Linked DNA regions of Rattus norvegicus. The protein of the gene in region 3 purifies or fractionates together with the protein of the main gene of each other region. This does not show direct contact. Links are inferred from orthologs where the notes say so. Each region holds a gene or a part of one and is shown on either strand. Other genes may lie near its edges.

What was found.
Region 1: the proteins of Cdk1 (region 3) and Samhd1 purify together in Homo sapiens (affinity purification with western blotting; 3 studies listed by BioGRID, with this or other methods). This does not show direct contact. The link is inferred for Rattus norvegicus from reciprocal best matches to the Homo sapiens genes CDK1 and SAMHD1.
Region 2: the proteins of Cdk1 (region 3) and Cdc25b purify together in Homo sapiens (affinity purification with western blotting; 4 studies listed by BioGRID). This does not show direct contact. The link is inferred for Rattus norvegicus from reciprocal best matches to the Homo sapiens genes CDK1 and CDC25B.

Annotation. Positions count from the first base shown.
Region 1 is NC_086021.1:166,193,782-166,197,433, reverse strand, and holds part of Samhd1 (deoxynucleoside triphosphate triphosphohydrolase SAMHD1), read left to right. Parts: intron 1-427; coding exon 428-583; intron 584-2,339; coding exon 2,340-2,440; intron 2,441-3,652.
Region 2 is NC_086021.1:138,866,639-138,870,290, forward strand, and holds the end of Cdc25b (M-phase inducer phosphatase 2), read left to right. Parts: intron 1-89; coding exon 90-182; intron 183-613; coding exon 614-676; intron 677-837; coding exon 838-936; intron 937-1,122; coding exon 1,123-1,256; intron 1,257-2,048; coding exon 2,049-2,160; intron 2,161-2,314; coding exon 2,315-2,455; 3' UTR 2,456-3,649; downstream 3,650-3,652. UniProt on the Homo sapiens protein: Tyrosine protein phosphatase which functions as a dosage-dependent inducer of mitotic progression. Directly dephosphorylates CDK1 and stimulates its kinase activity.
Region 3 is NC_086038.1:19,275,192-19,278,174, forward strand, and holds part of Cdk1 (cyclin-dependent kinase 1), read left to right. Parts: intron 1-230; coding exon 231-401; intron 402-2,401; coding exon 2,402-2,565; intron 2,566-2,655; coding exon 2,656-2,797; intron 2,798-2,983. UniProt on the Homo sapiens protein: Plays a key role in the control of the eukaryotic cell cycle by modulating the centrosome cycle as well as mitotic onset; promotes G2-M transition via association with multiple interphase cyclins.

The DNA.
Region 1 (3,652 bases), on a different chromosome or scaffold from region 3:
GTTTTGTAGACCAGGGGAAGAGGATCAGTAAGAGAAAGTATCTGTGAGAACGCTTCAGCGAGACCCCCCTCCCATTGCGCATTTTAAAAACTAATATAAGTTGTGATTAGACGTGATGGCGCATGCCTTTAGTTCCATCACTCAGAAGGCAGAGACAGGTGGATCTCTGTGAGTTCAAGGCCAACCTGGTCTATGTAGCAAGTGCCTGGCCAACCAGAGCTACATAGATAGATCCCGTCTCAAAAAACCAACCAACCAAATGGAAATGTTCTATAAACAAGTAAAATAGTGACACAAAAACTGACTAATTTAAAAGCTGTTACAATGTAGTTGGAAACTAGACAGTTAGAATCCAGAGCAATCTGTTTAGTTAGAGCCCCTGATGTTGAGAATCCGTAATAAGCCATGTTATATTGACTTTTCCCAGCATGAACAGGGCTCAGTTGAGATGTTTGAGCATCTGGTTAACTCCAATGAACTCAAACTTGTCATGAAGAACTATGGTCTCGTCCCTGAAGAAGACATTACCTTTATCAAGGAACAAATTATGGGACCACCTGTATCACCAGTCAAAGACTGCTTGGTAAGTTTTTAATTCGTGTTAATTAGAGTGAACTGTACTTCCTGTCTGATCTGGTCCTGTTGTAGGAGTGCTAAATGTTAAAATGTAAGTTACATGCATTTGCCTTCTAATATATACGAGTGATGTCTTTTCCCCTGATCTTGAGTTCGTTAGACATTATTTCCCCCAAACGATAGTTAGCGTCTGCAGCCTCAGTACTTGGGATGCAGAAGCAAGAGGATCAAAATGTGGACGTATACATCTTGGGCTGGAGCGATGGCTCAGTGGTAAGAGAGCTATGTAAGCATGAGTATCTGAGTTCAGATCCCCATCACCCATGTCAAAAGCCATACTTGGTCACAGATACCTTTAGTTCCACCACTCAAGGGGCAGAGGCCAGCCTGGTCTACATAGACAGTTCCAGGACAGCCAGCCCTTTGTAGGGGGAGCCTGTCTCAAGTAAACAAAACAACAGAAATTTAATTAAAAATAAAAAGCATGGCTGGACACAGGCTTGTACCCGAGCACTGTGACCTCTGGTACATCTGGTATGTGTGCACACGTCTGTACTGGTGCATCTTGTATGTGTGCACACGTGTGTACTGGTGCATCTTGTATGTGTGCACATGTGGGTACTGTTTTGAAAGATGCTGTGCTGGCACATGGTTATTGTGGTCTGTCAATAGAGAGGTGGAAGAGGAGGAAGAGAGGTGAAGGTGAAGTTCTTCCTCGCCTGGAAAATGAACTCAGGGCGAGTCTGTCCAAAACAAAAAGAAAGCTGAGTTTGAGGCCAGCCTGGTCTATAGAGCGAGCTCCAGGATAGCCTGGGCTACTGGGTAAAAACAACAACAAAATCGGAGAGGAGGAGCTAAGAGAAACATTTTTATATACATATATAAATACATACACATGTATGCACACAGAGGGAGGGATTGTTTTTGTTTCCCAGGGCAGGGGTGGGGAGGAGTCTTGCTCTGTAGCCCCTGCTGACTTTGAAGTCATAATCCTCCTGCCTCAGTCTCCTGGGTGCTGAGATTACAGATATGTGTCACCACACCTAGTGAAAGACATTATTATTTTAATATATAAATTCGAGGTTTGCCATTTAAGGAACTTTTTTTTACTAGTTCATAATTAAATAAAAATATTGTTGGTTTGGGGAAATTTATTAGTAGTACCCTTTCGGCAGCACTGGAAGGCTCAGTATTTCATTTATATAAAAATTTAAGTTACACTTTTACTTATCTGTTTGTGTGTGTGCTACATGTAGAAGTCACAGGACAGTTTTCTGAAGTCTGTTCTCTCCTTCCGCCTTGTGGGTTCTGGGGATTAGAACTAGGTAGTCAGGTTGGTAGCAAGAGCCCTTACTTTGATTTTTTTTTTTTTTTTTTTTTAAATCGGAGCTGAGGACGGAACCCAGGGCTAGGCAAGCGCTCTACCACTGAGCTAAATCCCCAACCCAAGAGCCCTTACTTTGCTAAGCCATCCCACCAACCCTTTATAGACTTCTGATTTACTTGTTTATTTTTGTGCCTGACATTTGACCCTCACTGGTGCACGCCAGAGCTGCATCTCCCGCTGTGAGACTTGGTGTTACCAGCAGAGCATAGCGTGCACTTCACCATTTCTTTTCCTCACTACTTCGTTAGAAGCGAGAAGGAGAAAGATCGTCTTCTTCAAACTTCAGTGTCTCGTTTACAATCTGCAGATCGCTACGGTTGCTTATAAATAGATCCGTGTCTACCTAAATCCTCCATGAGATTCTCTTGTTTTCCAGTGGCCGTATAAGGGGCGCCCCGCCAAGAAGAGCTTCCTGTACGAGATAGTGGCTAACAAAAGAAATGGCATTGATGTGGACAAATGGGACTATTTTGCCAGGTACGCACTGAGCCAGAAACAGGGCTAAAAACCTTTGTGTAAATGTAGAGGTAGGGCTCACCCGGCTTAACCGGAAGTTGGGCTCTGTGATCCTGTCCGCTTCCTGCGCCGCCATCACTCCTTCTTCTGGGTGTCAGGTTAGCTCTCAAGCTGGGTCAAGGTAGAAGATGGTCTCATTTTGAACTGGGAAAAATTCCCTTTTTCTCAGTCTGCTTTCTTCTTCACGATCAAGACTTTGTTCTTAAACTTACTGAAGGATTTTAGTAATAAGCGAGAACAACATGAAGGCCTTCCGGGAGCTTGTGCCTCATGTTGCTATGGCCGTCAGTACATGATCTTTTGTTGGTTGACATAGGTGTCACTATATGTCTTGGCTGGCCTTGAACTCACTACACAGACCAGGTTGTCCTTAGACTCATAGAAATCTGCCTACCTCTGCCTCCCAAGTGCTGGGATTAAAGGCATGAGCCACAACACTCTGGCTCCCGTGGCCAATCTTCTTGTTTGTTTATTCTACACTCATTATTTTATTCTGATTTTAAGACAGGGTCTCACTGTGCAGACCAGTCTGGCCCTCAGTGCGCATAGAGATCTGCCTGCCTTTGCCGCCTGAGTGATCTCCCATTAACTTGAAGTAAATCTCAGGCTACAGAGCATCTCGTGGCAAAACGTGTCCGTGTGGATCTGTAAATAAAGTGTCCCTGTTAAATCTAAAAGCACTCTGCAATTGTTTGAAGGGTTTTTTTGTTGTTGTTGTTTTTTGGTTTTTGGTTTTTTTGAGGCAGGGTTTCACTTTGTAGTCCTTGCTGTCCTGGATCTCACTGTGTAAATCAGACCAGTCTCAAACTCAGAGATCTTCCTGCCTCTGCCTCCGGAGTGCTGGGAGTAAAGGTGTGCTCCATCACTCCTGACTAAGATATTACTTAACATAGGGTTAGGATTTAAAGTTCCCTCGCTGTTTCATAACTGCCTTGTTACTATTGGTTTACAATCCATAACCCAGCGTCCACACACTGTCTCTTGGTGATGGCTTTCTAGTCTTTTATTCTGTAGCCAATCCCCTAACATCTTCCAGAAAATTTCCCCACTGACTTTTGGCTCAGTTATCACCCTGTGCCCCTCAGCATATTCTTCAGTCTCCGACCAGCGTTCTGTCAGCTGGTACATCTGAAACTTGGTTCAGAGTTAAAACAAGAAAGGAAGAAAGAAAAG
Region 2 (3,652 bases), on a different chromosome or scaffold from region 3:
TTAGGTGGCAGGGGAAGGAGGTCTCAACCAAACAGCACTGAGAGGCAGTCTCTTCCCTCACCCTGGCCTCCGTCTGCCTTACTTTCCAGAAGGCCCGGGTCTTCCGCTCAAAGTCCCTGTGTCACGAGATTGAGAGCATCCTGGACAGTGACCACCGTGGCCTGATTGGAGATTACTCTAAGGTAGCATTCTAGGGCTTCAGGAGGCTTCTTTCACCCGCTCTGGAGCCCTAATGCAGGACCCATCTGTCCCCAGAGGTCCCCCCTTCCCTCTGTGTCTTTTCATTCTTGTTCTCATGCAGACTCTTCCCTCTGGGTCCCCTTCCGATGCCACCTCAAATCTGTCCAGGCATCTCATCCTCGAAAAACATTTCCAAATCAATCTCTGGTATGCAATCTCCTGCCTCAGCCTTCGGCTTTCAAACCCAAGAGCAGGAAGCAAGAAGGTCTAGGGCTTTTCCTTCCTCTTTTACCCTCAGAAGGTTGTTCCCTGGGTGCAGGCCCCCAGAGGTTTCACTCAGCTGAATCTGAAGGCTGAGGCCGGTGTTGCCTCTGTCCTTCCAGTCTCTGTGTCTCAATGTGTTTCCCTGACTCTGCCTCATCCCTCCCTTCAGGCCTTCCTCCTGCAGACTGTGGATGGCAAACACCAAGACCTCAAGTACATCTCACCAGAAACTGTAAGCAGGGTTGAGCCACTCTCCAGGTGCATTGGGGACCACCTTCTCTTGGCTCTTGTCTTCCTCTGGGGATGGGCTGCATGTATAGACTATCGGAAGAGAGAGGGAAAACCTTGACTACAGTCTCACCTGCTGGCACCAACCCTGATGGCCTCCTACAGATGGTGGCCCTGTTGACAGGCAAGTTCAGCAACATCGTGGAGAAGTTTGTAATTGTGGACTGCAGATACCCCTATGAGTATGAAGGCGGGCATATCAAGGTGAGACGGGTGCTGGTAAGGCCAGGCCCTCCATTCAGATTCCTTGCCGAGAAGATGAATAGCCTTCCATGGTGAATTTCCTATGGGGAGGATTTCTGCTCAGCAAGAGGTGGGGTTACTTACCTGGGAACTGAACAAGAAGGGCCATGGTGCAGGCTTCAGCTTGACCCCCAGATCCTCTGACAGAATGCTGTGAACTTGCCCCTGGAACCGGATGCCGAGACCTTTCTGCTGAAGCATCCCATCACGCCTTGTAACCTGGACAAGAGAATCATCCTCATTTTCCACTGTGAATTCTCATCTGAGCGTGGACCACGGATGTGAGTCCTAGCTCTGTCCCATCCTTGTGGTCAGTGGCCAGCCGGGGCCCACCCTCGGCTTTCTTTGCCTGGTACTGAGTGCCAGAGCATCTTGCTGCATGTGATAGTTTAGAGCTGACCTCAGCTCTCCTGTTGTAGACGACGTATCTTACCATTGTCTTCCTTCCACCCACATCATCAGACCGTCTTCGGTCCGTTGCTGCATACCCACAAAACGTAGTGCCAAGTACAGTAGCATCCTTAAAATCTGAGGATACTGTGACACTCAAGCACTTGGAACCCTGCTACTGTGCTGACGACCACTGGGGTCCATTGCTTTCCTTCAGCCGTCTTTCCTCTGTCCCGGTGTTCATGGTTATTCTTCTGCCTCCTGGTCCAGGGTGGCCACCAGCTCCACCTGGCAGCTGTTAGCATCTGTCTCAGCGGACCAGAATCTCCTTCCCATTCCCTATACACGAACTTCACCCCTCTAGCACAGGGTTCCAGTTTTCTCATATGATTCTTGCTGGGCAATGGACCAGTCACGGAGCTTCACTTTTTTGATCTTTCCGATCCTCCCTTCCCATCTTCCCTTGAGTCCTTACCACCTCTGATCCAGGAGACCCTGGAGTATATGTGGTTTTTCTATGTTGCTGTACCCAGTGTCTGCTACCTAGTAACCAGTCTTGCCTAGCAGGTGACATGCCTGTGCTGAGAAGTCTGTGCACGTGGGGGCTCTTAATGCAGTGTGTACAGGGCATGGTCTCTTTCCGGCATGCGACCTGCCCTGAACCACCTCCCATGATACTCCAGGTGCCGCTTCATCAGGGAACGGGACCGTGCAGCTAACGACTATCCCAGCCTGTACTACCCTGAGATGTACATCCTCAAAGGCGGCTACAAGGAGTTCTTCCCGCAGCATCCGGTACCATGGGTGGGATGGTCACAGCTCTCCCATCGTGGACTGTAGGAACAGGACCCAACTAGGCTATAGGCCCTACCCATACCCCCACCCCCAGCCCCCAGAACTTACTCTTTCTCCCATACTGATGGACTCTTCTCATCTTCTCATCCCCTAGAACTTTTGTGAGCCCCAGGACTACCGACCCATGAACCATGCAGCTTTCCGGGATGAGCTGAGGAACTTCCGCCTCAAGACACGCAGCTGGGCTGGGGAACGGAGCAGGAGGGAACTCTGTAGCAGGCTGCAAGACCAGTGACGAGCCAGCCTCAGTCCTGCCACCATCCTTACCTCAGGAGGCTTGCGAGCCAGTGGGTCCCATGGGCCTATGCGGCCACCTACTTGCTAGAGGCCTCAGGTGCTATAGGGGGTTGGGGGGATGGTGTGGTGTCACATCTGTCTGTCCCTGTCCTCAATTTTCCTGTCTCACTCCACTAATTTTCTGTATCTTGGTACTGATCCCATCTTAAAGAGCTGAACCAATGGGTGAATACCAGCTAAGAGGAAGTCCTTTGTGTTCAATGAGAGCCCTTTTACAATCTCCTTTTTCCTTGTTTGTGTTGACTCCTTGTCTTACCCCTTCGCAGGGAGAGCCTCAGCCCTTTAAGATGAGCACAGTAGCTTCTTGGGTAGCCTGGATGCAGGACGCTACACTGCTGCACAGGGCTGTGTCTGCTCTCCTCTCCTGGCCTCTGCACAGATTCCTCCATTGGAAGCATAAGTGCTTACTTTTCCTGTTGTCGTCTTACCCATAGCTTTCATTTTCGTCTGTCTCACTTAGCGTGTCCCAGGACACACTGACAGCTGGGGAGGCTCCCTTGTACAGCTGGGGACTAGAGATTCAAATATCATGTACTCATTAGGCTTGGCTTTTGTTAGCCCACAAAGGGATCTTTTCCTTTAAGACCCCCAGAGCTAGAGCAAAGGCCTGATTCAGGAGCCTCTGGGAGCCCCATCCTCACTGCTGTGAACCCTAGAGCCTCGCTGGTCAGCACTTGTTGCTGGGCAATGAACCAGTCACTGAGCTTCACTTTTTGGTCCTTCTCTGTCCCTCCCTGTCCCTCTCTGTCCTTCTTTCCATATCTGGTCCTGAGTATGCATGGTTTTTCCGTGTTGCTGTACTAGTGACAGAGTCTAGGCCCTTTGTTGGATGGTCATGGATGCACAGTGCCTTGTACACATGTATGCACACAAATCGAGTGAAGTATTTTGGTAAGCATGATGGCCTATGGCAGGAGTGTGTGTGTGTGTGTGTGTGTGTGTGTGTGTGTGTGTGTGTGTGTACAAAGTCTTTACACTTAGCATTTGGAAATATTAAAGAAATATTGTCATAGGGGAGGGAGGAAGAAGCAACTTTTGGGTTCAGAATCTACATATGAAAAGGTCATGCTGGAAGGCCCCCAATGCATCCTCTGTTGGGGCCTTGGTTCAATAAAGCACTGAGCAAGTTGAATAA
Region 3 (2,983 bases):
CTTAAAGACAGGGAACAAAATTTTAAATGCTCCTGTGGGATACATCTTTTGATAACACGCACACTGCATGTGTAAACAGGTTTCCTGTCTGCCTGTTTTATGTTAGTCTAAAGAGGCCTAAAATGTCTTGTGATAGCTATCTCTGCGTCATAATTTATTTTTTTCAGAACTTTTTCCTCTAGGAATCTTGTAGAATGATCAAGTTTCCGACTTGCTTGTTTCTTTTCTAGAGTTACTTGTACCAAATCCTCCAGGGGATTGTGTTTTGTCACTCCCGACGAGTTCTTCACAGAGACTTGAAACCTCAAAATCTATTGATTGATGACAAAGGAACAATCAAACTGGCAGATTTCGGCCTTGCCAGAGCGTTTGGAATACCGATAAGAGTGTACACACACGAGGTGAGCAAAGCCCTGAGATTGTGGTTGCTGGAGTGCTGCCTCTGGTCTTTAAGCCAAGAAAGAAATACTTGGTTGAAAAAAGTGTCTGCAGCTAAGCAGTGGTAGTGCACACCTTTATTTAATCCCAGCAGAGGCAGAGGCAGAGGCAGGAGAATCTCTTTGAGTTCAAGGCCAGCCTGGTCTACAGGGCATAGTCAGGCCTACACAAAGAAACTATGTCTCAGAAGACCAAAAAAAAAGTTCTGTAGTATCAGTTTATTGCTTTTTTTTATTATCAATCCGCTCTCGTTTATGTGGACTATAGAGATGGAATCTTTGGCATCGTTTGTCAGGGGAGATTGATTGCTGCCTCAGCCTCAGGGAAGGGGTTTATTGTAGTTTTTGGGAGTTCTCATTTCTCTGTATTGACCTTTCCCAGACCTGTGCTCCCTCCTGATTGGACCCTGCTGTGGTCATTCAGATCAATTAAAAAGCAGGTTTTGCTGTCTGAGGTACTGTGATTAGATTTAGGAGCCAATTAGTGCTAGCGGAGGGAGCACTGGGGACCGAACCCCAGCCTGTGCTGCCCGGATGTTCTGTCACTGAGCTGTGCCCTTGGCCTGTCATCAAGCTTTGTCAGTGGGATCTTGATGGCTGGCATCTCATATGATTGCTCTGTTTTATTATTTCCTCTGTAGTGGGGTTTGATCCACAGGCCTCACACACTCTGCCCCCTGAACTGTGTTCCTGCTCCTTGTTTTGAGAAAGTCTCACTGACTTGCCCCGGCTGGCCCTGAGGTCACTGGAGTGGATAGACTTTGGCCTTGGGACTCCTGCACTGGCCTTCCCAGTAGCTGGGATTGTAGGTCCACACCACCAGACTGGGTTTCTCTGGTATTTCTGGAAGGGCGTTGACTTAGGAACATTGGCGCCCGGGGAGTTGTGAACCTGGAGTTAGAGGGTCGGTCCCTCCTTGTGTCCTTGGGTTTTTGAGGCAGAGTTCTCTGTAGCCTTAACCGGCCTCATTGACTGGGTAGCTACCTGCTTCCGGCCTGCCTGCTTCCTGGGTGCTAAAACTGCACAGACGTGTGCCCTGCCGTGCCTGCTCAAGGCTGTGCAGGGCTCTGGTCCTGCACATGCTGCGTGATAGGGAAGCTCTCCACCCACTGTACTGGGGTGGCCTCTGTCTTGTCTATTCCATTTTATTTTTTTCACAGTTTATTACCATGACAGTTTGATGGCCGTAACTGCTGCTGACCTCATTGGTCACAGAGGTCGTAGATTCACTATTTTTTTTTTTTTTTTTTTTTTTGGTTCTTTTTTTTCGGAGCTGGGGACCGAACCCAGGGCCTCGCGCTTCCTAGGTAAGTGCTCTACCACTGAGCTAAATCCCCAGCCCCAGATTCACTATTTTGATAAATAAACTAATTAGTTCTAAATCACTAATCAACTGGGTCCCACCCACTTTGGCTTGGCTTAGCTTTTTTTTTTTTTTCCCTCTTTTTTGGAGCTGGGGACCGAACCCAGGGCCTTGTGCTTGCTAGGCAAGCGCTCTACCACTGAGCTAAATCCCCAACCCCTGGCTTAGCTTTCTTATTCATGGTAATTGGAGCTACCATTACGTGTAAACGTAATGCACACTTTGTCCAGCATCTTTCCTAAACCATATATTACTATTTAGTGCTTTTTCTTTAAGTTGAAAAAGAAAGTTGTTTTGTCTATCTGTCTGTCTGGCCTCAAACTCACAGAGATCCACCTTCCTCTGCCTCCAGAGTGCTGGCGTGCTGGGATAAAGGTGTGTGCCACCCGGGTGTGTACCCAGTCAGGCAAAAGCTGCTGTGGTCCATTGACTTCGGTGATCTGAAAAGCAAGGCGTTTATTGTTCTTACCCATTAATGAGCAGAAGTCAGACATAAAATACCTTCACCTTCGTAATTTGTATGTAGCCAATTGGCTTAAGTTCCCGGTGACACCAGCACAGCTTCCTAAAAGACAGCCATGTGTGATCTGTCTTGTGCCAGGTAGTGACGCTGTGGTACCGGTCGCCAGAGGTGTTGCTGGGCTCGGCTCGCTACTCCACCCCGGTTGACATCTGGAGCATAGGGACCATATTTGCAGAGCTGGCGACCAAGAAGCCGCTTTTCCACGGCGACTCAGAGATTGACCAGCTCTTCAGGATCTTCAGGTAACGGTGTTTTATGCCTAAGCTGTTCAGAGCCCATCGGTTAAATAATCAGGGCGCCGTGTATGTAATAGGGCTTTGCTTTCCTTTCAGAGCTCTGGGCACCCCTAACAACGAAGTGTGGCCAGAAGTAGAGTCCCTGCAGGACTACAAGAACACTTTCCCCAAGTGGAAGCCGGGGAGCCTCGCGTCCCACGTCAAGAACCTGGATGAAAACGGCTTGGACTTGCTCTCGGTAAGTGAGCTGTTCTTCAGGGTTCCATTGTGGTGCCCTTGCATGTTCGTAGGACAGGTGGGGGTGACAGAACATATTCAGTCCTGGACTTGGAAGTGGGCAAAGTCAGCAGTTGAGCCAGGCACCTGCCCCGTGTACTCGTGGTGACAGCTGCCTTTGAGGCATGAAGTGGTCTGAGGGGCCTCA